Bombyx mori: one gene and its partner. The protein of the gene in region 2 interacts with the protein of the main gene of each other region in a pairwise test. Links are inferred from orthologs where the notes say so. Each region holds a gene or a part of one and is shown on either strand. Other genes may lie near its edges.

Region 1 (17,218 bases), on a different chromosome or scaffold from region 2:
GACATCCCGAACAGCCTTCTCGCTCTGCCCTATGTACTTGGAGAGAAGCTCTGGTCCTTTCACTGTTATCATGTGCATATTGTTGAGTCTGGCGAGACAGGACCCGATGTAGGACTTGCCGGTTCCGGGGGGACCGTACAGTAGGATCCCACAGGATTGTGACGGGAACAACGCTGGGTACTGTAATTTTTTATCTACTAGCTATGCTGATGGTCTTGGGAGGCTACTTCAGCTTCTCCTTGACATGTAGGTGATCTCATGGGGTTAAAACCAGAAGTGTTGTTAACACTGACCCTAGCAAGAGCCGCGCTTCGCAAATCTACCACCGAATCAGAAGCGCGACCCTCTGAGAAGATCTGGCGAGAAACTCAGGGGGCGGTATTGTAATGCCATAAACATCTATAAAGTAAATGCCGCCTCCACCTTGAGTTTTAAGGTCTCAGTATAGTTACAACGGCTGCCCCGCTCTTCAAACCGAAACGCATTACTGCTTCACGGCAGAAATAGGCAGTGTGCGGACTCACAAGACGTTCTACCACCAGTAAATTTTCAATTCAGCATCGTGTTTTAGTTAATAATTTAAAGTTGTCTGAAGTATTTTCTCTCACCATGACAGGCCAGAAGATACACTCCGTGAGTTCCCGCTTGACGTCCTCCAAGCCCCCCACCGGCCCCCATATGTCGAACGCGGTAGTTTTCTCCGTGTCCTTAGCAGTTTCCTCGACTAAACGAGGCTTCGCAATGTCTGGGTTCGCTTCTAAGAACAGCACAATTTGTATGTGTTTGAAGCTTATTCGACACGTGTATATACATTGTATATAACAAAAATAAAAATGTTTCTAAGCCACGATTTTTTTTCCGAAAAATCTAAACATCATTCTCCTAACCTTCTTCCAGTCACCTAGGATCGGCGCGACATGTTTTCTCTTTCCATACTCTTCTATCACATACCATTTATTACATATATCGTCTTTCACGCAATCCATCCATTTTTTATAGGTCCATCTCTTCCTCTATATCGTTCCACATTTATAGTTCTCTTACCAACCTCATTTTCATATCGTCTCATCACATCTCCCAAACGCGAACTTCTCAGCTTCTTTGTCACAGGTGCCACTTTACAACTTCCTCCAACATATGTATATCCGAAAGTTTCTACGACTTGCCTAATTCCGAAGAAAATACTAAAAAATCATGAAAGCTAGGCCATGTTACGATTTCCGAACTGTTAATTAATTACAACGTGTCGAAGGGTGAAATGATATTTGCTATAAGCGACATTTATTTTACTTTTTATTGCTTAGATGTTTGGACGAGCTCACAGTCCACCTGATGTTAAATGGTTGCTGGAGCCCATAGACATCTAGAATATAAATGCGCCACCCACCTTGAGATATAAGTTCTAAGGTCTCAGTATAGTTACAACGGCTACCCCATCCTTCAAACCGAAACGCATTACTGCTTCACGGCAGAAATAAGCGGGGTGGTGGTACCTACCCGTGCGGACTCACAACAGGTCCTACCACCACCAGTCAATACACGACATATTTTATTTTAGTAATTATGCTAAAAGTCCCTTTCATTTGGTATCAACATCAACAGTTCGATCAATTCGACAACAATCAACAAATTAAAGAGCGGACGGTTAGCGTGGCATGGACATGTGATGCGTAGAGAGGAGATGCATATGACTAAGAGATGTATGGAAATGGTAATGCAACGTAGAGAGGGGGAAGAGGTCGACCGAAGAAGACATGGATGGAGTGTGTGAATGACGATATGAGAGAGAGAGAGAGAGAGGAGTGAGTGTTGAGATGAAGGCTGATAGAAAATAATGGAAGAGAAAAATTAGCTGAGCCGACCCCACCTAGTGGGATAAGGTGGAGAAAAAGAAGAAGTTCGATGTTTTTAATTGAACTTCATTTAACTGTACTCCATTCAAATAGTTGAACTAGTATTTTTGTTACGATATTTTTCCAAATTTTAAACTTTAAATTACTCTCTTCTAAAGTCGCAAAAAATGTCGCTTAAACCAAATAGCCTTACACCCCTCAATATTATATTCATACATTTAATATAGATTTTTTTTTTCTGACATTGAAAATTAAATTAAAATATTTAATTTTAAAACTATGCACATAATGACTACATGGACAACGCAAAGGATTTTTCTGTTCCAGTTTTGTTCGTATTTCACGCAATACCGCATGACGAATCCGCGACCGATGATATCATAAATGCAGTTTTTACGTGAGCAAAAATAACCGAAGTCTCAACAAAAACACAGTTAATTATTTTTTTAACACGATTTAACATATTAATAATAATATTGTGGCGGGTAGCCATCACAGTACACAAGATATTTGACAGATGCCTGAATCTCGCTTACGACATTTTCAAGATAAGCTTGCATATACTGGGTATTAGGAGAACCGCTTTCGAAAACGAAAACAGACGATAGTACTAATGACACTTTTGATGATGGGACGGAAAAAAAATCGATCCTGATTTAAAAAAAAAAACATACTTTTAAAATGCTTTATTAGCATTACTTACACTCCATCATGTTAGTACAGCTAAATGAAACGACAGTTTCATAAAAAATACATTACTTTACTTTTTACAAAAAACCAGCAATGAAACACAAAAACACAAACAGCTGATGCTCGGGTCAACGAACGCCCGGGCGCGGCGCTGATACCGCGCTCCCCAAAATTTACAACTTTGTAGGTAGGTACAAAACTTTCGTTTTCGGAAACAGTCTCTTAACAACCAGTATACAAATTCCGAACAACAACATTCGGACCGTCGGTCTACCGAGCAAATCCCACCAGCTCGGTGGAAGATCTTCTCATTCGTTGTAAACCTCCACAATATAATTACACTTACTTTTCATCTTGACGGCTTTAAATATCTTCTTATTGAAGTGGTCGATGATGTCCCGCACTGTGCACGAGGCGGTGTCCATGGCCAACGTGATGACGTCATCGTCCGCTACCTCGAACTGCTGACGGATCTTCTCGTTCATCAAATGCTTGAACAGCTCCACTCTTTCATCCTGAAAATAAATTGTTTTGTGGTTCGAATGGGTGGACGAGCTCACAGCCCACCTGGTGTTAAGTGGTTACTGGAGCCCATAGACATTTACAACGTAAATGCGCTACCCACCTTGAAATATAAGTTCTAAGGTCTCAGTATAGTTACAACGGCTGCCCCGCCCTTCAAACCGAAACACATTAGGTACTGCTTCACGGCAGAAATAGGTAGGGCGTGGTACCTACCTGTGCGGACTCACAAAAGGTTATCACACCAGTAATCACAACGTCCAAACATTATTGCTTCGCGGCAGAAATAAGTAAAATTGTGATACCTTCCCGTGGGATTTCACAAGACGACCCATCGCCGCTAATTATTACCCACATTTTATTTTTACGGGTTTCATATTCATTGGAAGTGGAGCCTCATCTTATTTTTTAGAATTTGGAATTTTCACTGGTGGTAAGACATCTTGTGAGTCCGCGCGGGTAGGTAACCACCACCCTGCCTATTTCTGCCGTGAAGCAGTAATGCGTTTCGGTTTGAAGGGTGGGGCAGCCGTTGTAACTATACTTGAGACCTTTTAGAACTTATATCTCAAGGTGGGTGGCGCATTTACGCCGTGAATGTCTATGGGCACCAGTAACCATTTAATATCAGGTGGGCTGTGAGCTCGTCCACCCATTTAAGCAATAAAAAAAAACTGTTTGAAGGCGTCATTAGGCGTCATTACTATTATGAAAAAGGTAAAAAGTGTGACGTCATCATCATCGCCCCCATCCTATCCGTGAACACGTCGAACACAACATGTCGTCGTCTACTGTCTCACCTGTTCAACTTCAGGTATATCGAAGTGCGCCGTGAACAGCGGCTTCCCGTTGAACTGCCTGAGGACCGGGTGCAGGGACTTCATTGAGAGTGACGTCATCAGCACGCACACACCCGCGCACGTCTGCAGGAGGTGCTTGATGACCACGGCTAATCTAATAACGGAATAACATTGTACATAAGATGGTTTCTCCCCACGTTCTGAGATATGGACTATTTTTTTTATTGCCATATAGGCGGATGAGCATACGGCCCACCTGATGGTGAGTGGGTATCGTCACTCATGGACATCAGCAATGCTAAGGGCAGAGCTAAGCCGCTGCCTACCGTTTGATACCCTTCACAGGCCTCGTCTGAAGAAGGACATGTCACGGCGCTCGGGAAACACCGTGGAGGGGAGCTCATTCCAAAGCCGGATTGTACGTGGCAAAAAAATCTCTGGAAACGCACTATGGATGAACGCAGTGGCTCCAGGTAGTATGGATGAACTCTACTCCGATGGCGGGCGGTGCGATGGTAAAAATGAGATGATGGTATCATCTCAAACAATTCCTCCCCATGGAACATACGGTACAAAATTCAGAAGGAACCTAAGTCCTTCCGCAGACTCAGAGGTTCCAAACGATCCGTGAGAATAGGATGAACTAACATTTACCTCTGATAATACGCTATATCCTGGGGCGAAACTCCCTCCATATCGGGCGGTACCATGGAGTCCACGTCGTCGCAGATCAATACAGCCGGACTGTGCTCTTGGCACATGAGGATAGCTTTGCCCAGGATCTCCGGTATATCCTTACGGCCCCTGAGCGCCCTGCAGTGCAACGTATGAGACCAGACCGTCAGCTCCTTCTCGATTATGTGACACAACGATGTTTTACCCATACCACTGGACCCTGTCAACAAGTCGTCACATTCTAACACAAGCTCTTGCCTAGTTATTAATAAACAAGGTACAACTAAATTTTGTTTAAATTGTTTTTGAAGTGAAACTTCTATAGACGCGTTGAGAGTAAAATTTAACTCGCGACAGATTCGTTACGGCCAGAGAGAAAAGATACAATTTATGAAGAGCGAGAGTGAGAGAATAGAAAGAGCGTCTCGCGAACCACTCTACCGTGTAGAGAGAAAGTACAAAGCGAGCTAGGTCGTTTCTTGCCTTTGTAGGTAGACGAGCATACGGCCCACCTGATGGAAAGTGGTTACCGTCGCTCATGGACGTCAAAGTCATGAACGTCAATGCAATGCAGTCTTTTATACACAGCTTTCGCTATTACAAGAGATATTAATTTAGGGATGAAAAATGAAGAAAACCATAATACTAAACACCGCAAAAGAAGGTTCACTTCTTTCATGTGCACCAAGTTGTACGCGCACCATTTTTATTGATTTCAACAAGATAGTTAGGCCCGATATCCATAATATATCTCAACTTAAAAAAGACTTATCTCTTGTCGTTGATGGATTAATTGCATAATTTTCATATCAGAACGCATAATTAGAACCGAACTAGCTAGGAATTTAATTGAACTAGGAATTTAATGATTTTCATAATCATTATGAGCTTAGTTAAGAAAATTAGTGAAGTTACTTCATCTTGGAGAGGCTAAAAGAGATACACTGATAGCAGTATACCAATTTCTGCATACCAGTTTCTTCTGAAAATCAGTCCGATAGACTATTATCACGCAAACTCCTCTGACTCTGTGCCTGTGCTACGGATAATCGAGCTCTCTGGTACCAGAGTTCATTGCCATCAAAACGTGAATTGTCATTTTTGAAACAACAAGCTAAAGTCACGGATGTTGCCCGGCAAAAATAAGAATCTTACTGTCTAATGACGGTCCCACCCTTCAAAGCTTATAGCTTATACCTTACTGAGCTAGTATACCAGGTGTAAAACTATTAATTGACGTTAAAAAACTACACTTGCCCGTGATCAGAACGTTGCTTTTAATCTCTGATGCATTTTTAAACGTCGCCTCTCTATGTATTTCGAAATACAAATGCGAGAGAACTTTACTGATCAAAGTCTCTATTGATTTCAATGTCCTGCAATAGTTCTTGAAATCATACTCCATGCGGGAGGCGCTGCGTTTCGGCAGGACTAAATCCGTGTCGTTAAGGCACGTTGCCTTCGTAGTGAAATGCCTCAAACTCTCCGAATCCAAGAGGGTATATTTCAAACCGTCTGGTTTCAAATTGAACCGCAAATAACCATCGCTTATCTGACTATTCTGCTTAACTATGCCGTTATTTATTAAAAATCTTTTGCCTGAATGCGTGTTCTCTATGACGCATTTCTTGAATCTGTCTATAACATCGACTTCTGTTTGTTTTTCTTCTGTATACGTCACCAATTCAATGTGCACAGGTTGCTCTACCGTATCCCCGATTATGTTGAATATAATTCTCGTTCCATTCTCAATGTTGATAATGGCATTCAACGATTTCGGTATCAACACTGTCGGTATGTTTCTGTTGTACACTTCGCGGCTCAAGCTCCTGTATATGATACCGTCTATGGGCACAATTTCAACGCACAAATCGTTTATGGCGTTATTATTGTTCTCTTTATCGTCTTCATCAGTTTCGCTCAGAATCGAAGGAATAGAATTCATGGTCGATAATATAACAGTTAAATTTTTGAAGCATTCGTCTATTAAATCTTCATGTATGAAAACCGTGTAAGGATGTATCAAATTCTTTTTGCCGTCGCTGTCTATAGGTACCGAACGCAATACAAGCCTCTTTGGTGAGTTCAAATATGGACGAAGCATCTCTTCGTTTATTAAGCCTATATTTTTAAAAGGGCCATTGGGTTCGTTTGGCGCTGGAGGTTTTGTTTGGAAGCCTTGGTAGCTATTGAACGCGTTAACTTTAACGACTACGCGGCTCTGGTTCACTAGCAAGCCGGTCTGCTTCGGCGTGAAAACGATGGGCATCGATGAAAATATCCACACGACGCATTTTTGATGTGCCGCCACATATCGAAGCTGATCTAGTATTCGTAGCTGCAGTAATTCCGCATTGTGTTCCTGAATAATCAATCAATAAAAACATTAAGATATTCATTGTCAAGTCAATATTTTTTATATATATGTATTATAAATGTAAAAGTGTGTTTGTTTGTTGTCCTTCTTTCGAAGAGAAGCAAGGGATTGACATTAATTAAAAAAAAAAAATCATAGTATTAAGGCAAGGCAAGGCAAGAAAATGAAATATATAAAATGACAGACGTAATGCCTTGTAACATTGGACCAACATCACATTGACACATTTCCTTGACCATACGGCCGAAGCCTCGAGTAACAGCTAATATGCTTATAATTGTGAAGATGAGGATATTCATATCAAACTTTTCGAGCTCACACATAAACACTATAAATACATGGGAAAAAAATGACGTTCACTACTAATTATATTACAGATTCGTATTGCAGACGAGGCAAAAGCCCATCTAGTGTTGCGTGGTTAGTGAAGGCCATTGACATCAAAACGTGAATGCCGCCACGAATGCTTCAAAATTGTAAAGACACTTCCACCCTTCCAACTGTAACGCACAACTGCTTCATCATGGAAATGGGCAGGATGGTAGTACCAATCGATCAGTACGTACTTACACGCCTAACAACAAACAAAGTAATATGTTCACAAGAATTTTTTTACAGTAACATGCTGGCTGAATTATTTATCTACTAAATTATTCAATTTCTATTATTTGAAAATCTTTAAGATAGATACTTCACATTGAACAAACAAAAAAATATATAGCGAAAAAGTTTATCATTTATTTCTTTTTCATTGTTACTTCCACACCATCAAAACCTTAAAGATCTTACCAACAACTCCTGGTCATCAGGGCTGTCCGTATCTATATACAATTCATCCAGCACTCGCACATCACCGTATGGTGAGACAAACACATCAGCTCCCTCATCTAAGCCAATCAGTTGACTATGCACTGGATTGCAAGCTATTTGTCCTTCCGCAACACCACTGCTGTACACCACCCATAAAAACAGGTGCTTGTCTTTGTATAGAACTTGAAGGCACTGAGACTGTAAAAGATCTTTTTTTAATTCTCATGTCATAAATTTATAAGAAAATAAAAAAACAAAAACAGATTAGATTTGATTTTAGGGTACAGTATATAGGCTATATGACTCATCATTACACATTTTAAAAGGATCTACATTTGTAACTGTTCGCCAGTATGACTGTATTTATATATCTAATAAATGTTCTATTTGAATATTAAAACAATTTATTCTTTATTAAATCTAAATAATAGCATGTCTACAAACTACATAAAAAATTGAAATATTTTCAGAAAATCTTTTTTTTATAATTTTTAAACAGGGTTTATTTCTTAATGGGATCAATGACCATTTCACATATTATAATGCCAATTAAGCCAATGATAAACAAATTAATAACCTAAAAGTGAAATCTTTGTATTGATGCATTGTAATAAAATAAACCTCCTGTCTATCCAACATTTCATTATTTAAATTTTAATTGTTTTTCTTTACCTGTTCATTATTACTACTGTACTTTGGACTTATATATGCGAAGCAAGTTTTTTCGTGAGTAAACACTACTTTTAGTTTAGCACCTCCTAACATAATGAAATCAACATTCACTCTTTATTAATCTTATATTTCAATGCTCTTATGTGTAATTTGACATAATAATTTAATGTTTTTAAATTAACGATATAAATATTTAGGCAGTATCTTTGATAAATTTATGTAGGTCTAGACATAGATTATACACTTAATATAATTGAGAGGTCTAGACTTTACATGACAGACTTTTTGTTATCATAATCATTGACGTTCCAGCTTCAAAAAAAAATTCGATATCTTTAGCATACAGCAATGAAATTTAGCAAATAAATGCTGTTTACTTCTGCTTTCAAATATCTATAGTGTAAGCTTTCATACCACGTGCAATTTAAAAAGTATTGTAAAGTATAATGTTAAGCAAAACATCTCATTATGTTTCACACTTCACACTCTAAATGACTCAAAACGGCTGAGAGGAATAATTCGTCTATGTCTATGCAGTCTCTGACATGCTAAAAATGTTTATAATTTTCCAACCCACATTTAATGTCAGTCTAAAATTCCATTCCATTATTCTCAACTTTGTTAAGATACACATCACATTACATTTTCGTTTACATTACTCAAACACAAAGTATGATATTTTATTTCTAAAATTAAACAAAGAGTTTTTTTGTAGAATACGCCACTCTTGAGAACTTCTACAGGGTAGCTTTTATTAAGTCGGCAATTATGGGAAAAATTTACGTTAGTTTCACCTTCGTAAATCGGAACGTAGCTCTTGCAAAATCTATACTCTATTGGCTAGGCCATTAACCAATTAAAATTCAAAGCAGCTCAACGGTTTTTAAAGACGTATCTGTCGTGTCGTTGTTAAAATCTTTAGAATTTATGAAAAGTTTGCTCTAAATTCTCAGCTAGGAACCTAAAATTGTTTAATCAACATCTATAATATAACGGCTCGTGCCGTTAAAAGGTGAGTAGAAAATAGTCGTTAGAAAACCGTTTAACGCTGTGTAGACTTCGCTTGTTTTGCCTCCATTTTAGTCGTTAAACATGATAATTTTTAAATGCTTGTTTATGTTTTTACTTTATACTTCTTGTACACTTTATAAATGAACTACCTACTGAGTTAGATAGTACGTTTGTACAGCACGTGATTGTGAATCGTCTTCTTTATTATCACAGTAGGTCCGTAATGGCGCCAACAAGATTGGCAACGAAACCGCTCGGCGTCAACGAGAACCTGAACGGCATGTTAAGCCACGGCATTACGACGAGGAGTAAACAGCTAGCTTCTCTAAAGAGTCACAAGGACAGTCTAAAAATTCCCAATAAAAGGAAAGCGGACAGTCCTCTTAAAGATGTGACTGCGAAGAGGGCGGCGTTCGGAGATATAACGAACGCCTATAACAAATCGTGCGCGCCCCAGGACAAGGATAAAGCCATGCCAGTGAAGAAAGTCACTGTTGAGACCAAAATGCTTCCAGCAGTAAAGGTTTGTTGAACTCCAGAAACACTTCTATTCAGAGGGTATCTGCTTCCTTTCTGTATGTTAATATAAACTGATCAAGATTTACGTTTATAATACCTAAATAAAATTCTAAAGTTATTTCCCTCCAAATTTAAACAGGAGCATACTATTACCTTACAATATTATTTACAGCTGTTTGAATCATAAACAACTTCTTATTAATATGTTTTCTCCATATGATCATGTTAGTTGTTCATTACAGATTTAAAAATATTTTAACCTTATGTATTGCTTGTAGTTTTAACAGATTTTGAATAAATAATAAGCCTTGATTTAATTAGTTATACAATGGAAACAGTAGTTATAAAAGTAAGTCATAAGTAAGAATTTTTATCACACATGGCATTTTTATGATAAACTGGAAGATTAGGGATAAGTAAAGTTATTTCAAATCCACAATAACTAATCATTGATAGGCTTCATAGTCATAAAAAAGAAGATAGATACATAGTTTGAAGTGGTTTACTTGGTAAATATACAAATTCACCAGAAATGAAACTAACAATATTATCCATAAAACATTGTAAAATTGGTGTAACTTGCAATCTAATAATCAATATGGGTAATACCATACCTTCTACATCCATGGACAGATCAACTGCTTGACTGACCTATAATTATTGTGAATTATATTTTTCTTCTACAAATTAACTAATCAAATATTCTAAACATCCATAACTGGATGTCTGCCTATGTAAGTATGTATATAATATCATGGCTTTTATTATTTGTATCTAGGTGACAGAGGTGAAAGCCCTTCCTGTGTTAAGTGGTTATAAGAACACATTACTGTGTGAATACTGTTATTCATATTGAAACATAAGACCAAAGTCTTGGATTATATAATGGCTGATCCATCCTTAAAACTGAAATGAATGATTATATTTTATTGATTAATATGATTATATTTTTATTGATCAATATGAAGGCCTACCACAAATAAGCAGGACAGTTATACCTGCCGTTATGCCTTCACAACACTAACGTAGTACTAAAGGATTTTTTCATTCATTTCATAATCACACTATTGCTCTTTTTACTTAACTAAAGTAATGACTGAATTGAATGAAATGTTTGAAGAAATTGATTTTTAATTGGAATAGTTTAATAAACCTCATGAAATTCAAATGTGAACTGAATTTCTGTTAATATTGAATTAATTATAAAAACTGACCACTGAAATTCATTTTTTAATTACTATTTATTTAAAATGATACTTTTCATTAAGCTTCTTTCTTTTAAATAATGTCAATATTATTTAATACAAATAGTTATACAAAATATAATACAGATTAATTCATATTGAATTAGTCTGTTAATTAGCACCCTAAACTTAATGGGAAGAACCAATTTTCTTTTTTTATTGAGTGATGAATACATGGTAATTGTTTTGAGACGAGCAAGAGTACATAGCCAGTAGGCAACAACAAAGTTAGCTGTTCTGTGTAGTTTCACTTCTTTGATCTCTTAAATTGAACTTCCAAACTACAAATGTTTCAGAGCATCAAATCACAAACAAGCACACTAAATGGCAAAACTTCAAAGACCAAACAACTCCAGCGGGTAGCCAATAATGCTATTGATGCAGTACAGAAACATTTCACCAAAGACCCACCCAAGCAAGTGGCCACAAGAGCTCAGAATGGCATCCTGAAGAATTTTGAAAGGAAAGACAAACTCAAAGAGCAGAATCTGAGTAATGGTTCAGTCAAATCTGCAAGAAGTGATGTTTCCGGTGAACCCTCACTTTATATGACTGCCTTGGAGAATATGTAAGTACAAGTAGGTAGTTAAAAAGTAAATAGTATTTGAAACATATTCGAAAATTAAAAATTATTTTAACTCCACATTTTAATTCAAAGCCATGAGATATTGAGCTCCGTTCAAAATTCTCCAATTTAGCTAATCAGGAGTTTAGTATAAATCAATAACCAACCCCTACATGATCAAATAGGCAGACATGATTAGGTGGTATACCAGTCATTTATTATTAACCTATGCATATCCATTATATGCCACTTACTCTTGTTATTAATTGATCATGCATTACAATTTGAGGAGTAGGTAGCTTATTTGTCAACCAACTCTAGATATTTGCTGTCAAGTGACTCCAACCACCCATAAAACCTCAAGGGTACAAAAATGATCACCTTCATCATGATAGATTTAATTGATGACAGATAATGAACATGATAAATGAAATAGTTTACTGACAATTCAAAATTTATAAAAAAAATTAACACCTTATTTTTATAATGTTTAAAAACAAGGCGAATAAACATCACACCGATGGTATTTTTGTCTTCCATAAGCCACATTAACCTCTTTTTCAGTAGCCCATCTGAGGTAACTAAAGAAGAGTACAAACAAATCAGTGAGAAACTGAACAAAGTAAACTTGGATGACACATCTAGGTCTTTGGATGAAGAAACAGAGACCCCTCATAAAACTCCTTCTGGTGTTCTTGACTTTGACTTTGAGAATTGGAATGATCCACTCCAAGTATCTCATTATGCTATGGACATATTTAATTATTTGAAAAACAGGGAGGTGAGTTGTGGTTTTACATGGTTTTACATTTAAACTTTTTTTTATTTTCCAAATATCATTGGTTAATAAAGTATAATTTATTTCATTTTTATTTTAAATGAATTCTGATATATTAAGGTATTATTCATGCATTTACTACTCTTTATAACTGTTACTCCAGACAACAGTTGTTGTGTAATAAAATGAAATTAATTTCTTTCAGCGCCTTTTCCCTATTGACGATTACCTGAAACGTATGAATGGAATTACATCGTGGATGAGAGCGCTACTTGTAGACTGGATGGTTGAAGTTCAAGAGAGTTTTGAACTCAATCATGAGACCCTGTATTTGGCTGTGAAGCTAGTTGACTTGTTCCTTACTCGTTCAACTAAGAATGAACAAATAGAACAACTGACAAAGGAGGAATTGCAACTATTAGGAGCATCTGCCTTGTTTATAGCTTCTAAGTTTGATGTGAGTAGTTTTGTGCTCAATGTTTGTAAAAAAAGAGTAACAATAGATGCACAACACACCATTGTTTATATTATTGTGATTAAAACTTAAATTTATGGTATTAAGGTATGTGATGATCAAATTATGCCCTTCCTATTTCTGCTGTGAAACAATTGTAAAGGTTTAATATTAAATCTAGGAGAAGCAGATAATTTCAAACTTAAGCTCACAAATATTTTAACTGTGCATGCAAGTCAAAGCAACGTGTTGTCCAATCAGTCAAATAATGTACTTGTAGGAGCGCATTCCGCCCCTAGTGGACGACTTCCTGTACATCTGCGACGGGGCATATACGCTGAGCCAACTGCTTAAAATGGAGATGACTATTCTCCGGGTCATCGACTTCGATCTCGGCGTGCCGCTCTCCTACCGGTTCCTCAGGAGATACGCCCGGGTGAGAAACTGGGCTTGTTAGAATACAGATTTTTTTTTAGATAGTATTGTCTTACGTCGCCCATGTTAACACCTCTAAAAAAGAAAATTTCACAATATTATTACAAGACTGAAAAACTGTGTTGAACCACCGAATTTGAATTTGTGACACAAGTCTCGTTTTAGTACCACTGGTTAGTGAAACTGAAAAGCAACATTGTCTTATTATAATTGTGCACACATGTAAACACATTTAGTGTATTTTTTTGTATTATTTTGTGCCATACTGTATTGCCTAAGTAGTTTTAGTAGTATGACTCAAACACAGTACACAGTCTGATATATATACTACTAGACCATCACTATTATATTAAAACATTTCATATTCATTTGAAGAAAAAAAAAACACTATTTTCGTCAACAGAACATCATAATGTCAATTTAATTTTCAACAGTGTGCTCGTGTATCAATGCCTACACTAACACTGGCTCGGTTTGTGTTAGAACAATGCTTGTTGGAATATGGACTTATTGAAAATTCAGACAGTAAAATGGCTGCTGCTGCACTGTACCTTGCTCTCAGGATGAAGAATCTAGGTTCATGGACACCCACTCTACAGTATTATACAGGTAAATAAAGAAAACAATCAAGAGTATGTAATAATCAGACAGTTCATACAAAATTTTCAATGAAATTATACTGTTACTATAAGAATATAATTTCTATTTTTTAATAGAAAATAATTCAGAATAAATCATTCTATGTTCGAAAATAAATATAATGTACCTTTTATATTTTTCAGGTTACAACCTCAAAGAAATTCTCCCGATTGCATTAGCCCAGAATGCAGTTCTACACAAGAAGCCAAAGTCTGCGATTAGCACAGTTAGGAATAAATACTCACATACAATATTTTTCGAAGTTGCCAAAGTACCCCTAATAGACGAGGCGACGCTCACTAGCTGAGGAATAAGTACCAGGAATGTTGTATAAAGTTTAGTACTAGGGTATGTACTTAAGTTTTGATAGTTAGTTATACATGTAATCGTTAACAAAGCTGTTAGCCTAGTCGCCAAGATCAAGTTCTTCAACTACTAACTCTATCAGTTTCGGTATCTAGATTAGAAATTCCCTATACGCGTTCTCCTAAACCTAGCAGAGAATGTATACGACTAGGCTTGCTTTTACTAAATTTTACTGTCATAATTTGAAAATTATAGCTATGAAATTCAAATAAATATCTTCCTAGATAAACTTGCTTCGTCATCTGTAACACTACCAGTAAGCATTTATGTTATTATTAAATTGTCGAAGCCCTAGAGGGTAAAAGAAACAGGAGCGCCTGCCAAGAAATTGTTGCTCTCTTGAAAGTATTGTTCATACATATCTCTAGACTATGGTGTTTTGTACCAGTGTATTTGTTTGATGTGAAGACTGAAATATAATGTGACATAGCAGAGATGATATAAATTATATCTGGATACTAAGAGAATGTATTCTTACTTCTGTTAAGAAATAAAACGAAAATGAGTGAAGTTAAGTCATATTAATGATTCGGATTTTTTCTGCTAAAAATCAGTACCATTGGGAAATGTTAACCAAGAGTGTGCCATAATAGGCAAATGAAAGTCACAGAATCCTCTTCAACTATGGAGTTGATTACGGAACTAAAAGTTTCAAATATTGTTTAATTTGTATTTAAAAGAAAAACCAAAATCAGTAACCTCAAATAACATTTTGTACCAAAAATATCCAAATCAGATTCCATCTATTTTACAGTACTGTTTTTGATTAACTTGCTTTTGTTTAACAACAGTCTTCCTATAGAAAATTATAGGTAGTAAGTTTTGATAAAACTAGTTAATTATTTATTGTTTTATAATTCTCTCCGTACAGTCAATAATAAAAAAATCTTTAAATCAAAATTTATTATTCTTCAAACAATTTTAATGTTTTAACAGTACATTGAATGTACTTGTTGCTTCGAAAAATTTTAATTGGCTCGTTATTAACTAAAATTGAATATGATTTTGTTATTGATTGTACTTCATGTGCATTTTTAGAATTGCAAATGGTATTTTTTGGATTTGGTTTATCAGTAAGTTACGCTTAGACGTTTAGTATAATGATGCCTACTTAAAATACCTGAATAACTGATATGTGTAGGCTTAAAATATATTTTTAAAAGGTTAATTAAACATATTTAGAAAAAAAACGAAATTTATTACATAAAATTAGTAACTAAGTAGCCTCAATTTATTTAGTTAAAGAAGGATTGTATGCTAATCAGGACTATAGAATTGAATGAAAGCTTCAACGCAATTTTATACAAATGCAATTTTAGCGGATTTGCTAATATAATTTTCAATTTAAATTGTTATTAGAATGGATTTTGTAACATTTTTAATATTAATTAATTTTACATTATTTGTAGTTATTTGTGAGATTCACTTTCCACTGTCTTACGTTTATTATTATTTTTGTAATTTATCACGATTTTAGAGTACAAAATATTGGAATGTTAATAATGTTGTTCTTTTAATACTAAGTTTTTAGATGTAACTTTGAATACTGTTTTTTTTTCTCTTGATAGTATCTGTGCTCTAGTTATATACATGATTAATGTGAACCTACTGACTTGTAAATAAAAACGATTTTGGTTTGGTATTTTTATTTTTTTATTTATACTCCGTTTTTCAAAAAATAATAAAAGTTTTTTTTAATACATATAACAGAGAACAAGCAGTCATCTGACCCAAATTAAGATTCCCTGCGTTATGGGTAAATATTTACATATACTTAGTCTGGCCATAAATACTGTTACAATTAAAGATTAAAAAAATTCTATTGCAAATAACATTTATTACTTTTACAGTGTGTTAGTTTAATACATAAATATAAAACAATTTAAAGTATAAAAAGCTTCGAAGTAGTCTCCATTGGCTGCAATACAGTCCTTTAAACGTTGAGGCCAGTTATCAATAGAAGCACGCACTCTTTCCATGGGAAAATTTTTCACTGCCAATCGTACGGATTGTTTTATAGACTCCAAATTATCATGGCGTTTAGAGCAAGTCGTACTCTCTAAAACTGACCATAAATCATAATCCAGCGGATTAAGTTCGGGACTAGACGACGGCCAGTCTTCAGCTCTGATGAACTCCGAAACTTTCGTTTCCAACCACGATTGCGTAGACTGAGCTTTATGACCTAGCGCCGAGTCTTGCTGGAAGGACCATTCTTGATTATTGAACATGGTGTTGTTAAGGGGCTTCACTACCTTCTCAAGAACGGTATCTTGATACACTTATGCCGATGTTTTGATACCTTTTTCACAAAAGTATGGCTCAGTCACTCCTTCATAGCTAATACCCCACCAAACCATCACTGAAGTCGGATAGTGCCCACGTTGCACTCTGTCGACTAATTGGGAAGCTTCCTTAGAGCTTTGAGCATAAATACGGTCATTTTGTTTGTTAAAATCCTGCTCAAGTGTAAAAATTTTCTTATCCGTAAACAAAAAATTTCTATGACCTCCCTTTGCGTACCGCTTCAGTAGTTGTTTCGATTTTACCACCCTATTCTCTTTTAAATTATCAGTTAAGAAATGACCAGTATGTCTCTTATAGGCTGCAAGTCCTAAGTCATCTTTTAAAATACGCGACATGGTTCTAGGTGCTATCTTCATCTCCCGATATAGAATCTTTTGCTTTCGGACAGGATTTCTTTGAATTCTTTCCCTTACTGCTTTGACCACCTTTTTCGTACGAACACTACGTGGACGGCCAATCTTTTTCTGTCACAAACAGAGGAGGTCTCATTGCACCTATTAA
Region 2 (17,084 bases):
TTGTTTATTTTGAGTAAAACTTGTTGTATACCGTTATCTACCCGCTATGGTAGAAATAGATACCAGTAAGTGTTGGTATGGTTGGTATGATTAGTGTTAAATCGTCGTGCGAGTGGTTGTCGACTGACAGTATATATAGCACGGTGATCACTTTTGTTCCAGCAACAGCCGCAGCAGCTGCAAGTGCAGACCATCCAGATCCATCCGTCGCATCAACCCATCCAGATACATGTACGTGTTGTTGATCTCAGAGATATGATGAGGCTTTTGTTGCGGTCAGATAGCTGCGACACTGTTGTCAGTGGGCCGTTCTTGATAAATAACCGTTTAATTGATTATTATGCATGAGAATGCACAAGGCGAGCTTATCGCAGTTTTCATGAATGCAGTATATTTTGTAATGAGGATGATCTACATTTTTTATTGCATTTTTGGGTGGACGAGCACACAGCCCACCTGGTGTTAAGCAGTTACTGGAGCCCATAGACATCTACAACGTAAATGCGCCACCCACCTTGAGATATACGTTCTAAGGTCTTAGTATAGTTACAACGGCTGCCCCACCCTTCAAACCGAAACGCCTTACTGCTTCACGGCAGAAACAGGCAGGGTGGTGGTACCCACCCGCGCGGACTCACAAGAGGTCCTACCACCAGTAAAAACCTCAAGCTTTTGAAACAACAATGTTTAAGAGACTCAAAATTTTGTTTAGGCGGTCGGCGTGCAACAAGTGCAACAACAACAGCTTCACGTCGCCACTTCTTCCTGTCAAACGATGCTCCCGAACATTCTACAGGTAAACAAACCTTAATAGGCACTTTGTTTAATTATTTCTCAAGTGAAACTCATTACGGGCAGACCATCGCCGATTATATGAGCCCACTCGTTACATAGTGATAGTGCTAAGACAGTGCCTTGGTGTGCAGACAATAACTCTGTGGGTCGCGTTTCCGATCCGGTGGTAGTTTCTGTGAAGCACTGCTCTTGCTAGGGTCAGTGTTAGCAACGTCCTCAGATTAGAGCCCCGTGAACTCATACTAGTACTCGGTCATAATAGTATGACCCCTCGAAGTCACTAGAATAGGTAGAAAAAAATAACTGTATTAAGTCTCATCACAACCATATGATTGTTTTAGGAATATAAAAAGGACATATGTTGATTTTTAATTAATTTTCCTAAGAAATTAAATATTTAATAGTCGATTATTTATATTGTCTAAAAACATATCAGGACACTTCAACGTGAAACAATTGGTCTAAATTTTAATTACTTCGTCCTACACTTTAGATTAGTTAGCAGTACAGAGATTTTTTTTATAGCTTATATGGTTGGACGAGCTCACAGCCCACCTGATATTAAGTGGTTACTGGAGCCCATAGACATCTACAACGTAAATGCGCCACCCACCTTGAAATATAAGTTCTAAGGTTTCAGTATAGTTACAACGGCTGCCCCACCCTTAAAACCGAAACGCAATACTGCTTCACGGCAGAAATAGGCCGGGCGGTGGTACCTACCCGTGCGGACTCACAAAAGGTCCCTCCACCAGTATCAGTATACTGTGATTGTATGAACAGCTCCAGCCGGGGACGGTGGCGGTGTCGGGCCTGGGCCAGCAGGAGATCAACGTGCCGCATCGCATCATACTGCAGCCTCAACCGGGACACCCTCACGTGTTCATACATCACTAATAATAAAATCGAATAATCGATTGAAATTTTGAGGTGATATTTTAATCGATTTTTATTCGTACTTTTCCTGTCAATTAAATATAGTCTGCGGTGCATACTTTATATAAGTAGCTTTATCAGAATTTGTTGTTGATTTTTATAGATCTGTAAATAAAATTAAATACTTATTATTATAATAATAATTGTAGGATTTTAAAAGCAATGAAAGTACATATGTTAAAGTACTGCTACCCATATTTGTTAGTTGTATTTATTTTTTTGTTTCTTAAATTTTATTTTCAAAGTCGATATTGTTGTATTATTATAATAATCAAACGTTTTCTTTTACAGTAGTAAATTATTTAATACCAGAATAATAATTAGGTTTTATATTGTAATAGTTTTCAGGAGGTGATAGCATATGACTTAGCTTTAGTGTTTCTTCTGTATATTTTATGTACAATTTTGATCATAGCTCTATTAGAAAAAAATAAACGAATTGTCAATTAACTTTCTTGTTTCAGTAAAACAACACAGTTATATTAAAATTATTATTATACTTTACAAATTAAGACAATGCTTAAAAATATTATCAATCAAATACACATTCCATTACATATAATTAAAAATAAAATTAACTTATGAGCGGTCCAGAGAAATTGGCAAAAACTTAAGAAAATAATATTACATTTGTTTCTTGTCAAAAGTTTATCAAAACGTCTTTTTTCATATTATTTATTAAAACACCCACACGTCAAACATGTAATATATATATATCAATTAAATAAATAATTATGCTTTACTATTAAAAACAAACTGTTTACAATTATTTTAGAAGAAAAAGAAACACGTTGTTGGTATTAGATATTAATTGAAGAGATTTAAAACAATTTCAATTTATAATTCTGTTATACTAAAGAAATATTTGCAGTACAACCTATTGATCTTATGTATTTATTTATTTAGATGACATAATAGTGTATGAAGAACATGAATTGGACAGATAATTAAGTTTAAATTAATTAAGTTTCCATGAAAATACATATAAAATACTTCTCATGTCACACGATGTTTCAACAGCATACAGAACAATATAGTTAAACTTATCTCCAAATGCATTACTAATAAATGTATGTAAAAACCGTTCAGAGTCCTATAGTTTGTTGAAAACAGTTTGATACGCCGGGAGTTTGCACAGCGAATAGTTTGAAAAATAATAATTTTCAAAAATGATTTTATTCGAATGGGACTTATAATCCTATAAATCACATTTGCCGCATATCAAACTATATTTAACAAACTATTATGATCATCACAAGCTCCAGAATATTTCTTTGAAGGCGTGAATGATAATACTGCAAGTTTTATATATTATTAAACAGGTATTTTAGTCGAAAGGAACCCTTATCCAAATCCAAAGTTAGTTTGTAATGATAATTAAACTATTGTGGTTAGTTTTTTATGCACTAAGTTTACTGCTTTAGCCTTTGGTGTCTGAGGTTATTAAGCATTTCAGCGTTCGTAAAAACTTATTAAACAGTTCAATGAAGACAACTATTTGGCAGTAATATTATTACAGAAGAAATAATTAAATACTATCCTATAACATAAGTCGAACATGACAAAACGACACAAAGATGTATACACGACACGATTAGACAACGAGAATTAATTTATTCAAGGTTAATTAACTATCAATAATTCTCAAATTAGTGTTAAGGTAATGAACGAAACCAACATTCAAAGTTAAAACTATGAAGGTTTGTACAACTTCGAACAAACTATGACACGTTTTTCTATAATAATCAAACAATAATTTTCTATGGTCACTATTTAAAACCTAGTGACTTGATTTAAAAATTAAGCTCTTCGCCGAAATAGCTTTAAAATAACTCACATCTATTCATTTATTCTCGACGGTTTAAAATCCCAACTTCACAGACACACAAATTCATTAAAAAGCCTTTACGTAAATTATTTAAGTTCAAAGCTTTAACTAAATTACGTCTCGCGTTTACTAGTCTTAGTTTTTCAATAATCTGAATTGACTAATTTAATTTTTAGATCAAATTCGATAAAATAAAGTACATTTAAATATTAAGGTTCTACTATAAGGAGATTGGATGCGAATTGTGGAGAATACAGTATAGAGAACATACCTCAAATCTCTCAAATTAAAATGCAATGATTGCGACAGAGGAGCCCAACTGAGTTGTACTTTGTATTCGTTCTGAAAATATATTTGTAGTCTTTATAAATGACACCTAGTTCTAATGATTCGTGTCTCCTATACACTTTGAACAGAATCCGTGTCGTATGGGTATTCTGGCGTCACTCTGATGTAAGCGTCGTGCACTGTCAGTCCGGGAGGTAGTTTCACGTCTCTAAAGTACTTGTGTCGTCGCGCGTCCTTCGCGGATATTCTTTTAACCGGATCGTAGACTAACATCTTTTGTAACAAATCCATGCCCACTTCGTCTAGGTTTTGTACCTGTAAAAAATGCACGTTACAATTGACGGTAGGAAGAAAAGATTTAACTCAGTCACGTCATTGATAATAACTAGTATAATATAATATAGCTTAAATGGTGTTGGGGAGTCTTGTAAGTCCGCACGAGCAGTAACGTATTCTGGTTTGAATGACGAGACAACTATTGTACTGTAAAACTGGGACTCAGAACTTATGTTCCAAGATGGGTGGCGGCATTTGTGTCGTTAATGACATGAATAAATGCTGTTTATTAGATTCCGTTACCGTTATTATAGGTGGGCCACATGCTCAATCACAAGTCTGAGCGATAAAGAAAGTGAAGAAAGATAGTTTTGATATGAGGTCGAAGTTTCAATATAAATCACATAAGAGCTGTCCCATCTTACAAACTGGAACGCATAAGTGCTTCACGACAGAAACAGGACATCAAAGTCCAGAATAAATATATTAAAAAAACATTATACAACACACACACACACACACACACAAAACTTTTAACAGCTGGTTCTGCTAAAATAAACTTTCACTAAAATCCCAAGGGAATATCTTGGCTAGCTGGAGTAGTGTCACTCATTATGTAATAGAATTCAATTAGTTTTTCATATATCTGGAAATATCTCAAGAACAATAGACATATAAAAATCTAAAATAAAATATGCTTCATACGTACATGATTGTGCAGATTGTACGTGTTCCAGTTCGGGAAGGTTGGCTTGTAGTCTGGTAGGAGAGAAACACCAGGCCATATCTCTTCTGTTGGCGTTCTTAGCATTCTGTTAATAAATTAAGAGATCTTGTGATTTAAATAGTTACTAATAAGAAAAAGTGTACTCCAGCAGATACCATATACATTGATCATAAACGAAATTGGAAAATGAGTCAGAAAAATTAACTCAAAAAAAATTGGGAGTCACAAATCCCATATTAGAAGTTTAGTTCATTCATGTATCTCCATTTCATTGGAAATTATGCATGGAGCAAATCTATCTGTTCAGAATTTCACACTTTATTGATTTGAATTTACACATATAGTTTGTTTTATTTAAGCTAATATCAGGTATAAGCAAGGTCGCAAGAAAGTGGAGGTACATCCGGGAATGGAATGGATAAACAGAAGTTTTAGAGGCTAACAATATGTAAACTAGTCTTCTATTTCTTTCTACATACTTCAAAATTACATATTTATAATCATATTTACTGCCCTGTAAATGTAAGTCAAACATTTCATTATATTCATTCTTTTATTGGAAGGAAATCACTCAATCAAGTTGAAATAGTATTATTATAATTTAATTACCCCAACAACAGGTTTTTTTAAAATTTATTAACTGTTATATAAGTGTTGTTGTAGTAATTGCACACCCAAAAAAAACAACCAAAACTTGAATGTCCACATCATATTTTAGTTAGTGTTCAATCTGTGTTTTAATCCAAAACTAGAGTTTTATTCTAAGCACCAGTTACATTCCATTGTTGAAGGGAGCATAAAAAACTTTTTTTTTTCAATTATTGTTGTTAAGATTTAACTCTAATAAATCTAAGGCAGACAAGCATCACAGTAAGTGGTCACCGTTGCTCATGGACCTCAGAAATACATAGCCAAAGCCTACCACTAAAATGGCGAAATGCCTACTCACCTGAAAATGCGGAAGAGTTGATCAATTTCAGAGTCTCCTTGAAACAGTGGCTTCTTTGATGACATCTCAGAGAATATACAGCCAACTGACCATATATCAATTGGACAAGAGTATCTAAAAGTAAGACAAGTTACTATTATACAAAATAAATAATAAATAAATAAATAATCTACCAAATAATGAACTCCACACGGTCACTGACCATTCTTTTGTATTAAGAAACAATTAGTGGCAATGTATTGCCACACTATTCTATGAATTTACAATGCAACTTGCCATTTTTTAGAAAACAAAGTCTAAAGCTCTTAAAACAAAATGTTTTTTCTAAAATACATTTCATTATTGGGCCAAATTACAACTAATGTGTATTGATTACTCATTATAGAAAAGTTATATTGGAGTTTGTAGTGGCTGGTTTTGACTGATTTGGATAAGATTTTACCTTTGACTTCCTAGTAAGACCTCAGGAGCCCTGTACCACAATGTGACAACTTCATGTGTGTAGACCCGCACTGGAACACCGAATGCTCGACCAAGACCAAAATCTGCAACCTGTCACAAATTTATTAGGTATTTATGAAGAAAATAAAACTATATGACCATTGTCTAATGTCAGTGTTTGACTTTTCAAACTGGTAAAACTATATTTTGAACAAATATACTATGACATGGCCTTCACACACGTCATTTCGGATCCTCCCGATCCACTAACAGTACTTTTAGGTACCTCAAGCACCGATCATCGTTCTCGTCGAACCCGTCGCTTGCGACGAAGGGCTCGACGAGTAAATTAACCCTCAGACACAGCCCACTGAGTTTCTCGCCGGATCTTCTCAGTGGGTCGCGTTTCTGATCCAGTGGTAGATTCTGCGAAGCACGGCTCTTGCTAGGGTTCGTGTTAGCAACGTCATCAGGTTTGAGCCCCGTGAGCTCACCTATTAGTTAAGGTTACGCTGATATAGCCTCTCAAGGCTATCAGGTTAGGTAGAAAAAAAAGGCCTTCACATTGACCTATAGTAATAGCACTGACACTGTTCAGTCAGTATCAACACCAATATACATGGTCTATATAGCGTCCATAGTTTCATGTTACTGGTTTTGATTTACAACTTTTTTTAAAACGATAAAAAGGCTGTCAGTAGTCTAGAATTATCGAGAGGGTTCTTGCTGGTCCCAAGACTCACTGTTTAGCACTTTTTAATATCTTTTTGCAATTATTAATATCACCATAAAATACTCTCACTTTAATGATTCCAGTCTTGTCGATGAGTAGGTTCTGTGGTTTGAGATCTCGATGCAGGATCCGTCGTTGGTGACAGTACAAGATGGCATTGTTGATTTGATATAGATAGCTCTTAACTACAGATGGGTCCATGAACTGAAAATAAATAATGATAACCAATATTTTTACAAAAATTTACTCTGTTACAAAATTTAACATTAAGAATTACTTTGCCTTGTCTTGTGTGACTTATTTATTGCATTTATAGATGGCCCACCTGATGGTGAGTTGTATCTAGGTCTTGCGGAAATCAGCAATTCTAGAGGCAAATCCCAGCCATGGTCAACTGCTGACGCATTATCTCAGGAGACCTTCGCAGTTTATTTAAACAAAAAAGTTTTTTTTTTTCAGAAATAAAAACTCCAAAGATGCAACTAGTCCTAATTAACAATTTTTTATATTTTAAGCATTGTACTACAATTTATATGATTGTGGACACACTTCAAACAGGCGTCATAGTTTGTTGTAAAATTTAATTTAAGGCATGGTTATGTTACCTTTCCAGAACCAAGGGAGTCCATATATTTCTTCAAGTCCATAGAGAGGAATTCGAAGATTAAGTAAAGTCGCGACTCTTCCATCAGGACATCCTCCAACTTGACAATATTAGGGTGGTTCAGTTCTTTAAGTAGAGATATTTCTCTGAAATGTTTTCAAGAAGTTCTGGTTAATATAGGTTATGTTCTCAAATGCATGAGAATGTGTTTTTAATTAATATAATTGTTTTTGTGCAAGTAATTCATTCAATTTTACGTCGTTTACCTTATTGCCGTGGATGGTATGCCTTCGTCTTCGGACTCCAAGCGAATTTTTTTCATGGCTACAAATTGACCAGTTATTTTGTTTTTTCCTTTGTAAACGACACCGTAAGTACCTTCGCCGATCTTTTCTATCTTTAAGAAATCATCCATCTTGTAGTAAGGAATTTTGGCGGTTTTATGCAGACCACAACAAAAAAATCACAACACCATGCAATTTTTCTTACTCCTACAAAATGCGTGTTTTAATAATTTTTATGTGTTTTAAATTCATAAATGTCTCAACATTTGACTGTAATCCTTAATTCAAGTCACTTCTGTTCTTTTTAGGAAATATTTTAAATGTTTTACTATTTTACAATCTCTAACGTTTATCCCTTCAACGTCTTTCAAACGAAAACTTTTTGAAAATTTTCGAAGTGGACTATTTATGTCAATTTATGTGTCTATGCTTTGTTTATGACTAACTTGTTTCAGAGTTAAATAACGCTTAGAATAGCATAAATGTGCTACTTCAATAGACAAAATTGTTGTTGCTAGAATGAGATAGTACTAGAACACTAAAAATGCATATCAAAAAGCTTGATGTTTTATGAATGGTATCGGAACACATTATCATAGACAAACAAAGAGAGATTAATTTGAAAAGCAAGACGTACATACATACGTTGTAAGCATTAGTCTATTTTAAATAATGCAAACTGAATCATTTCAAAGTAAAATATAAATATTAGTTTAATTAATTTATTTATTTTGTTAAGAGTTACACAGGAAAGCAACGATACATTATTTTTACAGTAGTTTTCGTCGTGCAACACTAGAAATGAATCTGTTGGTACCCTAATGTGTGGAAAACAAAGCTTAACTAAATATAACTGTTTATGGTTTTCAATCTGATTTAAGGTCATAAATAGTCACAATCGATCTTTTTTTCGAGGCATCACATTAGGCTTAGATTTTTTTTGCTATAGCTTGTTTTATATCCGCGATAAACGCGTTTTTTTCTCATTTCTCTCATTTTAAGACCTCAAACGTGTTTTATGTTTTTATTGGATCGCATAACATTTTATATCTTAACTAGGTAGTCTGATTTCAAAATATCCAATAATCGTTGCTCGATATCCGTGTTTCATTCATATCCGCCATTATTGTAGCGACAGTCTGTACTTTAAAGTAATAAATGAGAATCTTTTATTGTTTTGAATTCTAAAAATGCTAGTCGTATAATTGTTTTAGGTACCTACAAATTTGAACCGATTTTGGTATTTCCAGACTGATATCGGATTTAATTTTATTCGATTCCCGATCGCGACTGCTTTTATTAAAATGCCGTCTGATTTAACCCTTAAAGTTTAAGGGTTAAGGTAAAATAAGGTCCAAGATTTCGGCCAGAGAGAGGTAATGAGAGCAATTCATCATACTCAAATTCTACAGATAATTTAATCTGTTTCTCAATTGAACTCTATGTAAACTTTTGCCCTTGAGCGCATTATTGTTTTGCAGCAGAAACAAGTAATATGGTGGAAACTCCCGTACCGGCTCTATGTCATAAAATACAAGCAATGCATAAAGACCGGTACACAATCACGAAATGCTGTTAATAAAAGCATTAAAATACTCTGACAATGCCCATTGTACGTTGAACCCATTTATTTAAAGTTTTTCTTTATTGCCCTTGTAGGCAGACGAGCATACGGCCCACCTGATGGTGAGTGGTTACCGTCGCCCATGGACTTCAGCAATGCCAGGGGCAGAGCCAAGCCACTGCCTACCGCTAAAACGCATTAACATCATGCAGTCAAATTTCTGAGAATCAATAATATGCACTATATTATTTACAATAGAACACGGCGATTTATATTACATACTTTAACTTGTGGGTCAATAATCTAGATAACGTTAAATTGATAAACTATATACTGTTTAGCTCAGCATATTTTCAAATCACGTATGTACGGCCAAGCGTGACATTACACATGTATTTTTATCAATATGAATATAATATAGGCGATGGAGTTGATAATTCGATATTATTCACTAATGTCAGCCCGTGTGGACAATGTGGCGGTTTGTGCTGGTAACCAATGTTCTCGTGATAGGAAGGGTGAGTTTTTTAAAAAAATTTTAAGTAGCATGTACTGCTGGAAGAATATTCAGCCTGGCTTAAGAGGAATCGTGTTGGGCGTAGTTCGTACAGACGTAATTCCCTGTTCGATTCTTGATTAATGAAATGCGAATTCTTGAATAATGAAAACTATTTGAGGCCTCGGGAGACCAGAAGGCCGGTACGTATTTTGCACAAAGAATTAGCATTGCTATCCAGCGTGGAAATGCTGCCAGCCTTCTGGGAACGCTGCCAACTGGCGGTGAGCTAACACAGCTTTTCTATTTATAAGTAACTTTAATTAAAACTAAAATTACGTTTTTACAATAAACCTAAACTTATAGTTTATATATTTTATTTTTCAAAATTAAAATAACTAATTTATCTTAATTATTCTGTTGATTATGTACGTACAATTATTATTTAATAATGCGAGTAGAGTAAATGTTTTTATCCAATGCGATATAAATATATCTAACACTTCGTTGATACGGCTGTGCAGTTAGCGACATTGACTGCTGGGCCGAGGGTCCTGAGTTCAATTCCCACATCGGGCAAACATTCGTGTGCTCTACATGTTTTTTAAATTTTTGTTTGGGTGTATAATATTTACACATGGACTTTAAACAAAAGTAAAAAAATAAGTCTAAAACTGTGTAGGAAATTCTAGTTTGGGGACCAATAACAAACACTGCTAAGATTGGATTGATTGATCGATTTCCCATTTTATTATTATTATTATTTATTAGTGCCAGTTGGCTGCGTTTTGTTTCTTAAGTTAGTTATTGTTTTATTTGAGAATAGTTAATTTGTCACATTTCTTTGTAGCTAGACTTTCTTTTATATAATCCAGCCTCGTTTAGAAAACTCATTAACAATAATTAGACTACATGACCTAAAGGTTACGTGATTCGTATACACCAAGTGCTATTCAAATGGTAAAGGTAATATAGTAATAGTTTGCAAAGTTTTACTGGTGGTAGGACCGCTTGTGAGTCCGCACGAGTAGGTACCACCGCCCTGCCTAATTCTGCCGTGAAGCAGTAATGCGTTTCGGTTTGAAGGGCGGGGCAGCCGTTGTAATTAAACTGAGACCTTAGAACTTATATCTCAAGGTGGGTGACGCATTTACGTTGTAGTTGTCTATGGGCTCCAGTAACCATTTAACACCAGGTGGGCTGTGAGCTCGTTCACCCATCTAAGCAATAAAATAAAAATAAAAGTGACGCTTCGGCAATTGGGCTTTAAACGACATACATATTTAGATTTCCTGAAAACAAATCAAAGAAATACTATGTATGTTTTGGTATGTGTATTTCATGGACTGACCGTATGTGGCATTGTGTTATGATCAAAAGTGCGTAAAATTTCAAATAAGATTTTTAGGGAAAGAATAAATGGAAATTTTGAATTGAAATTGAAATTGAAATTGTAAATTACTACACGATTTCATAAAAATTTATCGTAAACATTTTTTTTAATTGACCCGTGATTTTATGCTGTCCTCTGACGACCACGGAAAAAAGGTTTACTAAAAAAGAGATTTAATTATGAATATCAAAAGTATATGTTATCCGTATGATCCAATATTTAGGTTTCACTACAACCAATCACAGCGGAGACTACTCAAGATGGAAGACAGTCAAGACAATTGGACATCAGTGATTGCTGTCCCTGCCCCGAAAATGCTGATTCAACCTCAAAAACCAGTTGGAGGCTTGAAAAAACTGCCGGAGACGGTTCTCTGAAAACGAATCTCGATGACGAATGTCCATGTCTACCTAGGGATTCTGAAGGATCGTCATCTATGATCTTCCCAACTGCACTGCGGTCTGGAGCTGCCACCAGGTAAGAGTATGCTGAAAAATTGTAGTGATTATGAAAAAAAAACTATAGTTCAATTCGTATATGTGTGAAAATTTCTGGCTTATTAATGTGTATACATTGTCTTCACACAAGCACCTAACAAGTGAATAAATTGTGACCAAATTAGCGTAATGCTGTGTTTTCGTTTGTATTTGGTAGAATCAGTCACTGAATGTATTTTTATATACAATTCGTCTGTACCCGCTTGCTGCAAGTAGAATAATTCTCAGCCCCAGTATAAAGTAGTATATTTATAAGTAAGTTATACGGATGTCTTCATTATCTGCAAAAATGTACTGAGCGTGTTTTCGATTCGTTAGCAAAATATATCAGTTTTAATGATCGAATCGTCCCTTTAGGTACATATTCCAAATGATTAGATCAAACAGTGAGTTTTTTTGTTTAGACTAATGGATCCCAAAGAAGACCCCAAGAATCTGCTAGAGCCAGAAGTTGGTCTAGCTTCATCTGTTCTCGAGACTCTGCGTCAAGCTACTGAAGAAGAATACCAAGATGCACTTGCTAGAGATGCTGCGAGAGCCAATGCTAATGACGACGCTGTTCCAGAAGAAAGCGCACTGAATACTGTAACCATTATACTACCGCAGAGATCTGTAGACGACCGAGATACCGAAGAGACACTAGATTCTCAAAATTCTCAAGAATCTAAATATCTTGACCCACTTGGGAGTACAATCAAAAAGCAAATACAATCGAAAACATATTCTGGTTTAAATGATATTTTAAGATTACCTCAAGTCGAACGCCTAACGTTCTTGCAAAAAAAGCTTTTGAATGTGGGAAACGGTGTCAGCACTAGTAAATTTTTGGAAAGAAATGAAGAGACTACCAATAAAGCACCCATGCTAAAATCTCCATTAACAAACCAAGAACGAGATCGCACTGAATTTTTCGAGGATCAAGGACAGTCTATTATTCATCAATCTGACGACAGTGAAGCATTGAACAAGGAACAATGTAATTTTAGTACAAAAATAATTGAGTCGATGAAAATTAAAAAAGCTGAAGGCGTCGAAAATGATTTAGATTTAGCAGCCAGTGACATAAATGCCAATGTTGCGCGGAGTCAAGATGAATTCGAATCAATAGAGATGACAAAAGCAACAGCGAATAAAAACCCTTTATTTCATAATTCATTAATATTAAGAGAGCTTCCCAAGCGAATTCAGTTAGTTGATAAAATGAATGGTAAAATGAATTTAAAACAAATTTCAGCTTCACAACAAGATTATAGAAAATCAATTCTTAGTGATTTAACAAACAATGGTTTGAAATTCGATATCAATAAACGGAAGTGGATCGATTTCAAAGATACTGAAAATGAAGAGGAAGATACTGTTCAGAGCAGTAGGCAGAGGCAGGAAGAGGAAGTCGCTCAGCCTACTAATGAGTATAAAACAATGGATCTTTCTAATGAGAGTGACACTATGAATGACACAGAGGGAAAACTATTAAATGACTCTTCATTTGAGAATTTAAACGAAGAGGCTCAAAAATTTATTAATAGCAATGAAATTAGTTCAGAAAATTTTAGCAGGTCCCAAAATTCAGAAGAAATATTAAATACGGAGTTATTAAATACACTATTTCAAGTGGCTCCAAATCGAGATCATTCTAATTGGAATAAAGGAACAAGGGTCAACGATAGTCACACAACGAACAAACATAATACTAGTAACATATTTCACGAAGAAGATATAAAAGATTCCATCCAGAATGATATGATACCAGAAAATACTGAAATTAAAACAGTTGTTTTAGACAAATTGTCGAAAACTGTTCCAAAATATATAAACAGAAATGAAAAAAATGTTCACAGTGCAGACGAAAAGCCAGAATTTTCTAACAATATTCCTTTGTTACAAGACAAATTTATAAAGAATTCATTAATTAATCAAAATGTTTTGAGTGATTCAACACAAGAAAACCCAGAACGTTCACTATTAAGCAATGTTATTGAAGCTCAGAACACTTTTAATGAAAATTATGAATTACAAAATAAATCGGGGGTATCGAAAATTGACAAAAATAATGTTTCTCGTGAAATGAGCATGAATGATTTACAGGATTTATCCGACACACTTTTAAAATTGAGTATTGCTGGTGAGAACGGTGCTAAAGATGAAAATAATCTTGTTTGTGAAAAATGGAGTGAAGCGAGTAGAGCCAGCCTACCTAAGCCAAATGACGCTACAATAGTGGTTAACAATCTACAGAGTGATTTAATTAACAAAGATGATTTACAGAATGACGAAGGAGACACTTCTATAAAAGATAGTACAAAAGCTCGCGTCTCTAACCAGCCGGAAAAAGAAAATCGTTCACGAATTCTTAGTGTCGGGGCGGATCCAGTTGAAATGACAGCAGAAGGAAGTAATCCCATTATGAGTAGTATCCAACGTAATCCGTTTGATTATCTACGAGATAATAATTTCAAATCAGCGCTTTCTGTGGATAAAGTAGTACAACCTAACTTTGATTTATTTAGATCAGAAACTGGGACTGGTTTAATTCTACCAACGCTTGATAATATAAAAGAAAAAGTGACACAGTTTTTCAGTCCACACGACAGAGAATCCGAAAAGGAACAAATAGATTGCGTTAGAGAAAGTCAAATGATAACAGCAGAAGAGAGTTCGCCTATGTCACGATCGAGGTCACCTTTGGCTCCACTTGAAGACGTTAATCTAGATATATTCCAGTTAAAACCTCTAACATTACCTAATTATTTTCCGAAAAATATACCGAGAGTTGATTTAAAAACTTACAGAGCCAAATTGCCTATTCCTAAAAATCTAGGTATGAAGCCTTTGATATTCGAATCGAGTCTAGGCAACAGAGAAGGTCTCATTGGGACTGCTTTCTCTGTCGGTCCGCAATCAAAATCTAGGTTCCATGAAATTTATGCTACCCCGATGCCAAATTTACCTGGTTTACAAGAAATTAGAGAAAATCTGAAATTGCACACAACCAATTTATTACAAAATCCAATAAATTTCAATAGAGGATCAATATTTGAACCAGATATTTTGAGTATAACTGATAATTTACGACAACGTGCAGAAGATACTCTTGCGGATATGAAAGAAAAAATTGAGAGCTCCTTATATGGTGTTAATTCTATGGACGTTTTCGGGGATTCGTTAAGATCACATGATATATTGGAGAAGTTAACGGGAACTAGGGATGATTTTAGTGAAAAGTTAAAAGGCATTCAATACGACCTTAATGATCGCCTTACTTCATTCCAGGAACAGCTTCTAGATAAGACAAGGCTTATGTCGAAAAGTAAACTTTTATTTAAGGATAAGCAAAGTGGAAATTTACGCAGCTCACCTCATTCGTTGAATGTTAATTCTAAGGTCAAGAAAGTATCTCGTCTTAATGATGATAAAAGCACCAAATTAGGAGCATCACGTCTGAATCACGTAGATAGTGGCAAAATGAAAAAATTTAGAATGCCAACAGCGGCTAGCGTTCCTATACCTTATAGTATCCAAGTTCCTGAATTAAAGATGGCATATATTGACCCACCAGTGAATTCTCCGGACCGACAACAAAATTTCAGTAGATTATCTGATCTTCTTTCTAGAAGCGCAGCTTTAAGGGATTCCACACAAAATACGAAAATAAAAAAAATAGGAGCTAAGAAAGAAAACAAGTTTAAAGTATCATTTACACCTCTATCTAATGAGAATTCAGATAATAGAAAATCTTTAGGCTCCGTTACTGATACTAATGAGTCGCTAAGTGCACTAGTGCCTTTAAAAGTACGAGATTCTGAAATTAATTCTAAATTGAAATCAATGGAATATGAAGAAGATCTAAAAGAACTAACGCGTGGCGATGAAGATAAATTAAAATTCCAGCACAAATTCCCCTATTTTTCTAAAGCTCAAAGTATTGAAAGCGACAAAGGTAGTTCATTAAGCCGTAATTCACTAAGCTCATCGAACTATAAAGCAAACAAACTGTTAACTTCAACTTCGTGGCCAAATACTGAAGAATATTCATTCTTATCAAAAGTTAGAAACAATATAAAAGAAAAGTTGTCCAAATTAGATTCCTCCTTAAAAATAAACCGAAATAAGCCTTTTAACGACCACACAATATATGAATCTTATGAACAAATGGTCAACGACGAAGCGAGCGAAAATACTAACGTTGCATCTCAGTCATTTGGAATAAAAAGTCCAATAAGCTTTAGGAGTCAACGTATAAAAGACAACGACGAAAAAGTCATGGATGCAGATGAATCTCCCAGTCAAGTGGCACCTATTAGATCTCAATACCCCAACACATGTATGGAACAGAAAATTGTAGCTATCTCCGATGATTCTGATTCTTTAAGACAAGCTCAAGAAGGTAATGAAACTATAGTCAAACCTAAATTACCAAAAATTAAGTATCCAATAAAAACAAGTGGTCGAGTAATGGGGCTTGAAAATAGAGAAATAGAACCAAGTGAATCTCTGAGTGATAATAAGCCATTAAGGTCTCGAGCGAAACAACTTCTTGTGACTATGAACTCACCAGTATTTAGGCAGGAACTCAATTCTGAAGATACAGAAGAAATTCCTACTACGACAGTGCAAACTACCCGGCCTAAAATTAAGTATCCGTTGAAAACTAGAAGTCGAGTTCAAGCTACTCATGAATCAGAATCAAACGAATCTTCGCTAAAAACACGAAAGCATAATATGCCTGATAAACTAGAAGTATCATTTTTCAGACAAAATCCGGATTCTGAACAAATGGACGATCGTATTACTACTACAGCAAAACCATCCTTACCTAAAATAAAATATCCTTTGAAAACGAAGGGCCGAGCCCATGATAGTGAAGGAACAGAAACAGATGGGTCTCCCCTACAATCTCAAGTACCAGAAATATATACCAGATTAAAAGTCCCAGTTTTCAGAGACGAACACAATTCTGAAGAAATAGAGGAATGTCCCACTACGACAGCTAGGCCACCCTTACCTAAAATTAAATATCCTTTAAAAAACAAGGGCCGAATACATGATATTGAAGGAATCGAAACAAATGGGTCTCCGCTAGAATCTCGAGTGCTAAAATTGTATACTAGGTTAAAATCACCAGTTTTCAGAGAAGAACCTGATTCTGAACAAATAGACGATCCTACTACTACCACAGCAAAACCACAGTTACCTAAAATTAAGTATCCTATAAAAACAAAAGCTCGAGTCCAAGATATTGAAGGAACAGAAGCAGACGGGTCTCTACTAGAATC

Evidence for each region.
Region 1: the proteins of Cdc2 (region 2) and cyclin 3 interact in binary tests that used the Drosophila melanogaster proteins (3 or more experiments, as listed by UniProt). The link is inferred for Bombyx mori from reciprocal best matches to the Drosophila melanogaster genes Cdk1 and CycB3.

The regions. Positions count from the first base shown.
Region 1 is NC_085110.1:17,324,978-17,342,195, forward strand, and holds cyclin 3, read left to right. Parts: upstream 1-9,234; 5' UTR 9,235-9,411; intron 9,412-9,621; exon of another isoform or gene 9,622-9,623; 5' UTR 9,624-9,633; coding exon 9,634-9,933; intron 9,934-11,469; coding exon 11,470-11,741; intron 11,742-12,302; coding exon 12,303-12,519; intron 12,520-12,721; coding exon 12,722-12,973; intron 12,974-13,250; coding exon 13,251-13,406; intron 13,407-13,839; coding exon 13,840-14,014; intron 14,015-14,187; coding exon 14,188-14,351; 3' UTR 14,352-16,052; downstream 16,053-17,218. Other genes in the region: peroxisomal ATPase PEX1, read right to left, coding at 1-180, 609-757, 2,890-3,058, 3,866-4,019, 4,520-4,760, 5,798-6,902, 7,707-7,925, 8,400-8,492. UniProt on the Drosophila melanogaster protein: Cyclins are positive regulatory subunits of the cyclin-dependent kinases (CDKs), and thereby play an essential role in the control of the cell cycle, notably via their destruction during cell division.
Region 2 is NC_085122.1:10,042,035-10,059,118, forward strand, and holds Cdc2 (cell division cycle 2), read right to left. Parts: upstream 8,004-17,084; 5' UTR 7,993-8,003; coding exon 7,844-7,992; intron 7,724-7,843; coding exon 7,579-7,723; intron 7,178-7,578; coding exon 7,043-7,177; intron 6,352-7,042; coding exon 6,242-6,351; intron 5,914-6,241; coding exon 5,800-5,913; intron 4,936-5,799; coding exon 4,833-4,935; intron 4,163-4,832; coding exon 3,959-4,162; 3' UTR 2,955-3,958; downstream 1-2,954. Other genes in the region: zinc finger protein 431, read left to right, coding at 163-231, 713-796, 1,579-1,692; uncharacterized protein LOC110385314, read left to right, coding at 9,899-9,943, 11,538-11,791, 12,216-17,084. UniProt on the Drosophila melanogaster protein: Plays a key role in the control of the eukaryotic cell cycle. Required for entry into S-phase and mitosis.